Bombyx mori: one gene and its partner. Each later gene encodes a partner of the first gene's protein in a complex. Links are inferred from orthologs where the notes say so. Each region holds a gene or a part of one and is shown on either strand. Other genes may lie near its edges.

Evidence for each region.
Region 2: signal peptidase complex subunit 2 (region 1) and signal peptidase complex subunit 1 share a complex: the UniProt entries of both Drosophila melanogaster proteins name them as parts of the signal peptidase complex. The link is inferred for Bombyx mori from reciprocal best matches to the Drosophila melanogaster genes Spase25 and Spase12.

The regions. Positions count from the first base shown.
Region 1 is NC_085110.1:14,727,756-14,731,834, forward strand, and holds the start of signal peptidase complex subunit 2, read left to right. Parts: upstream 1-1,260; 5' UTR 1,261-1,378; coding exon 1,379-1,396; intron 1,397-1,708; coding exon 1,709-1,774; intron 1,775-2,104; coding exon 2,105-2,238; intron 2,239-2,665; coding exon 2,666-2,818; intron 2,819-3,973; coding exon 3,974-4,079. Other genes in the region: histone-lysine N-methyltransferase SETD2, read right to left, coding at 1-92. UniProt on the Drosophila melanogaster protein: Component of the signal peptidase complex (SPC) which catalyzes the cleavage of N-terminal signal sequences from nascent proteins as they are translocated into the lumen of the endoplasmic reticulum.
Region 2 is NC_085123.1:9,320,464-9,322,734, forward strand, and holds signal peptidase complex subunit 1, read right to left. Parts: upstream 1,000-2,271; 5' UTR 889-999; coding exon 607-888; 3' UTR 536-606; downstream 1-535. Other genes in the region: serine-threonine kinase receptor-associated protein, read left to right, coding at 1,331-1,445. UniProt on the Drosophila melanogaster protein: Component of the signal peptidase complex (SPC) which catalyzes the cleavage of N-terminal signal sequences from nascent proteins as they are translocated into the lumen of the endoplasmic reticulum.

The sequences.
Region 1 (4,079 bases):
TCAGTAGGCGCGACACTACTCGTCTGTTTCCCGCGCCGACTAGTGCGCCTCGTCGCGACAGTCCTTGTCGCAGCCTTCTTTCGCTTCGCCATTGCTCTTCTACTCGGAGGCAGCAACAAACAACCTACAAAATTACATTACATATTTTGACAACAGTAATAACATGGTGGGGCTTACATATTATGACCTCTTTCGTTCATTGTTGATGCTGTCAATGCCACATGTGTTATAATATGAAAATTATATGATATCTAATGTTTTATGATTTAATAACGTAATTTAAATATTTTCTGCAAATCAGCAAAGTTTATCCATCGGTACTAAGGAAAAGGTACTAAGGAACAATTTTGTTCTTACATACCATCACTTTTTGGAACAACTAGTATTCCTTACATTTGTCACTGAACGAATAGTCGTATTTTGTCAGTTTAAAACAGTAACAAAACTTTGACCAATAAGCGACCAAACTAGTCTTTTTTAACTTATGATGGATGATTCCTTATTTGTCAAGAAAACCGCATACAGTCATTTATGTATTTCGTTATGTCGGAATTCATTTCAATTTCAATCCATTTCAATTTTCAACTTCAATTTGTTTTTTAATCATTTGTTTACGGCCACTGGTCACTTGACGTTTTACCCGCTTTCAGTTTTTTTAACATGTCTTCTAGACAATCGTTTCTATAAAAGAAAAGTTTGAAGGAGTCATTTTTAGAGATATTATTCTATTTCTATGTACTTGTAAACTTTTAGGAATACTAAACCTTTTCACTATATTATTACTTACTCTTTGATCTGAAAAAAAAAACTGCATATTGAAAAATCACGTTTCCGCCAAATAATCCAAATTGAAATTGGTGATGATTTATGTTAGTAATTTGCAATAACGGTGATTTATTAATTTTATAAACCGTTGAGTATGTTGTGCATAAATGCGAAATAATTAAATCAAATCGCTGGATGTGGCTTTTTGGGTTGTTCTAATACGCCCACTGAACCCCTTAGTAAATTCTCAACGTTTTATTTAATCACGTCCAAGACCTGCAGTATTGTCTATCTCTCCTATTTTAATTCTAAATCACTTACGGACAAAATACGTGACTTGGGTATTTGTATTTAAAAATATATTGTATGAATAACGTTCCCTTTGCGGTTTCAATGAAGAATCAAACAAAATGGTCTATGCTACTAAGCATTTAACATAGATAATACTCTCAAATATATTAAGTGTATAATCTATGGATAATACACTCTTAGCTGCCAAGTATCTGTCAAAAGTATCGAAAATTAAAATTAAGTTTGTCCTGGAAAAATTAACTGAAATCTGAACTTAAAATTTATAAAACAACGCTAAATAAGTTATTTTAATATATACAACATGTCTGAAACGGCGGAGGTATTTTAACGTTTACTTTAAAGATCTCGGCACCTTTAGTTTTCTTGCCAACTGTGCGTGGTGTTAGGACACGTCACTTTAAAATCTATTTACTTTTAATTTTATTCTACTTATTTTACTAGAAAATGACTGGCTTTAAAGTTACTAAAATCTTATTACTCTACTGATGTACTGATACTACTATGTACTGTTATGATACCCATATTCATGGTTTACCCCTTCGAGAAGGGGTAGTTTGGAACACCCGTGTCAAAAAAGTAAGATTTAAGACGACTATAACTTGGAAATTTATAGAAAAAACTATAATTTCAGGCTGCAAAGATCAACAAATGGGATGGTGCTGCAGCAAAAAATGCTGTTGATGATGCTATTAGAGAGGTAATACATAGTTTTGCTTATTAAAATTTTGTCCATTGAACATTTAGTAACATAATGTTCATGGCTGACGCACAAACCGTGCAGGCCAAGAAATGGGAGAGAAAAAAAAACATAATGTTCATTTGAATATAAAACTAAGCATTGTAACAATATTTTTTTTATTGCTTATGGGTGGCGAGCTCACATCCCACCTGGTGTTAAGTGGTTACCGGAGCCCATAGACATCTACAACGTTAATGCGCCACCCACCTTGAGATATAAGTTCTAAGGTCTCAGTATAGTTTGTGTTTGTGCGTAGGAATTAATTAAGTCTATAAAAAAATTTTTTAGGTAATGACTGGAGACTTAAAATGCAAGGAAAGCTTTGCTCTAATTGACGGTAGACTGTTCCTCTGTGCTCTGGCTGTTGGTGTGGCCCTTTACGCACTGCTATGGGATTATCTTTATCCATTCCCTCAATCAAGGTAAAAAACCACTAATGTATTTGACTGTTATTGTATAGTTGAATTTTAATTTTATTTCTTTTGAAATGCCAACGGTTACTCATAGAATTTGTCTATACTAAATTGTACTCAACTTTGAACTCATTAGTAACTTATAAGAGTTATGAGAATTTTATGTCTTAAAAACCGGAACATTAATCAGAAGAAGGTGCTATGCTCCATTTATACACCGTATTAGTATAAGTGCCTCATTGCCTTCCCTAAGTCTGGTGTGAAGGTCTAGATAATCAATACTACTCTCAATAGTTAAAACATCTACTTCATATTGCAACAACAGCTGCATTCACATTGTACTCTTTTAGTTCTGCTAACTGTATCGGTCCAGAGTAGAGTCTGTAGAGAGTGAAGATCTAAATAAGTTGATAAAAAAAATTACCACTATTTACAGACTGGTTCTAATCATCTGTGTGTCATCATATTTCATACTGATGGGTATTTTGACCCTCTACACTACATTCAAAGAGAAGGGCATCTTTGTGGTAGCCAAGGAGAAGGTTGGAAATAACACCAGGGTCTGGGAAGCCAGTTCTTATGTAAAGAAGTAAGTCTACTTCCTACTACTTGAGTATATCCTATATTGTAATAAAATCATTGGATTTTACAGGTGACTTAAATTTAAAATGAAGCACAGTGGTGGTTTCACTGGTGGTAGGACCTCTTGTAAGTCTGTACGGGTAGGTAGCACCACCCCGCCTATTTCTGCCGTGAAGCAGTAATGCTTTTCGGTTTGAAGGATGGGGTAGTCATTGTAACTATACTGAGGCCTTAGAACTTATATCTCAAGTTGGGTGGCGCATTTAAATTGTAGATGTCTATGGGCTCCAGTAACCACTTAACACCAGGTGGGCTGTGAGCTCGTCACCCATCTAAGCAATAAAAAATAAATTAAAAAAAAAACAGTACATTTATGACCAGCAAGTAATGGCCTACATTTGTTACGTACAGTAGCAAGTGTGATCTTGTAATTATACCTTGAATTGATACAAAATTGTATGAAATCAACCTTGCAATATGTTTAAATTAACAAAGATGTAAGAAACAATGGGGACTTCTACCTCATATTTAAAGGACTAGAATTAAAGTTATTGCAATAACAATTTTCAGCTTACACCGAACACCAAGTTGTTGAATCTACCCAGATCTCTTAATAATATTAAATAAATTAGATGTCTGCCTTTGTCTGTGTTTTTATGCAATTTTTTCCAGGCTAAGCTGGAATGGCCACTTAGGCTACCAGAGGGTAGGTAGGAAAAATTTTTTTAGGCAGACAAGCATACGGCTCACCTGATGGTGAGTGGTTATCGTCGCCCATGGCTAACATTAGCTGAAATTTAAAAGAAAGCTTAGGCTACAAGTTTGAACTTGCCTGCAGCAAGCTAGTGTAGCTCTGATTATAAGATACCCACTATATCTGTACAAACATGTATAAACAATACTAATATTAGTTTGAGATAGAATTGTGTTGTAGCAGAATTGTTACTTGTGAAAAATCTATGAAAGTTATATTTAGGCCTTTAATTTTATCAGATGGTTGGCTTAGAGGATTTGCTTACATAAAAGAGTAAATTAGAGAGTAGGTGCATGCACAAATTCTAATAAAATTAATTAATAATAATTGTCTAATGTAACTGCTGCGATTATCAAAGTTGTATCCAAATTTTACTTGTACTTTAATGTAATTATTTTAATTTTGTAGACACGACGATAAATACAATCTCGTAATTGTTATGCGAGACACGAATGGCAACACTCGTGAGGCATCCGTGACCAAGTCGTTTGCCAACTTCATCGACGTGAACGGC
Region 2 (2,271 bases), on another chromosome or scaffold:
CAGAAAATGTTTTCTTTCATTAAGGTACCAATTTGGATATTCATACCTATCATTGTTCATAACATTGACATCAACACTGAAATACTAATAAGGAAATACAAACCGAACCTGTAAAAATGATAATTTTTGTAATTATTGGTGTTAAGGCATCTTGTTAGCCCACATAGGTAGTTCCTACAACCTTATTTCTGCTGTAAAGCAGTAATGTGTTTTAATTTGAAGGATCAGGCAGCCATTGCTCTATAGCACTAACATTTAGACCTCATGTTTCAAGTATGACATAATTTATGTTGTTCATGCCTATGGGCCTCATAACCACTTCACACTAGTTGGACTGTGAGCACATCTATCTAAGTAACTAATAATAGTTTCATTTTAAAACATTTGTCCTTAATAGTAAGAGTTTATTTTTGTAGTACGTGCATATATTTCTTAGCTAGTTTAAAAGTTCAAAAGATTAATTTGGTACATATTTTATAATAGTGCGTTTAAGTGTGTGTAAACTAAGATTGACAGTTATGTAAATAAAACAAAATTAAAACTTATTAACTATTGGATATATTTGAGAAGTAAAAGTTGTACAGACAAATTTTGAGATAATGAATTTCACTTCTTTCCTTTCTTGGCTGCTGGTTTGTCATCACCGTTCTTAGGAACCTGCCAGTTCAGAGGATTGCGTCGGTACATTGGCCATGGAGGAACAGTAAGAATGGCAGCAAGCAGAAATCCAGCACCAAGAATATACACTGACTGCGAGAATTGCTGAACTATATAACCCCATACAAAACCAACTATACTGAACAATGTAATTATTGCCCTGTATAATTTCTCTGCTTTTGCTTGTCCGACGTAATCTATGTGGGTTGGTATAGATGTAAAGAAATCCATCTTGCTAAATTAGATTAATATCACTTGCCACAACAACAAATTATTTTGAAGAAACTTATCAGAAGTAACCAATTAAACGGTCTGACATTAAACGTCAAGCAATAGACACGTCAATACTAAATTGACGTCGTCATAAAAGATATTACCAGTATTATAAAACTGATTTCTAAACGTTTCTTTTTATTAGCCAATATTTTTTTTGTTCTTCCTAAATTTTATTTTATCAAAAAACTTTTAGCCATATCTTAAAATTTAGATGGCTTGCAACAAAGCTATGTTGATAGTAGTTTTAAGATATTTTCTAGTAATACTGCTTTTTCCTTTCCGTCAGTCGATTGTCAACATTCAGTACGATCAGACTCATTAGGTTAATTTTAGTTTTACAAAAAGATAATTTAGTTTTATTTTTCCAAAGTACAACAATCAAAATTAATTTAACAAAATGACAACGCTTAAACAAGTTCCTCTTACATGCGGTGGCCACACGAGACCAGTCGTGCATTTGGATTTTAGTGACGTTACAAAAGACGGATATTATTTGATTTCTGCCTGCAAAGGTAAGTTTTTATTGTTTATTCGTTTGGGGTGCTTTTGCCTTAGTCGTGACATATATAGGAAACATAATTTTTTCTAATATTAGTGGGGTGTGTTTCACGTTGACAAATGTCGGGCGTCGTGCTACGTTTATGAGACCTTCACTTTAGTTGTTTTGTTCTGAACAGTAGGTTTGGCCGGCGTGCATTCTATGCATGTTGCGACCTTCTCTTTCCGGACATGCAGGAAGCACCTTGAATATCCACTTGTGTGTTTCCTCGGCGCCAGTTTGCCTTGGGCCGCGTCGTGCTTTTTATTCATGTACTAGAGGCTAGTGCATGACATACAAGTTTTTCAACTTTGAATGCATACAAATTTGGAGCGAGCTCGGAAGTTTATTCCTGTATTAAATTAAATGTTGACATTTCACTTATTCTGGGTCACCTTGTACCAGCTCAAGGTTTGTTGTACTTGACATTATTAATAATGATATGGGAGTTCTGACAACATAATACTCTAACACAATGACTTATCTGTAAATTTTATTATAATGAAAATCAGAAATAAATGATAATTATTATAATTTTCACTTCCTTGTATTGCTAATGTGAAATTAATTATATTCAAGTCTTGGCTTACATGTTTTGTTTGTATGATATCCTTGGTTTTAGCTGTTACCTGTTTTGGTTCTGATTTAATAGTTCCATTAATCTCTGATGAATTAATCTTTTTTTTATATGTAAATAAGTATAAAAATCAGGAAATAGCATACTTGAATGTTGTTATTATGTAGTGTAGTATTGTTTATTTATTTCCTTGTATAATTAATAGTTGTTATCATGTTTTGTG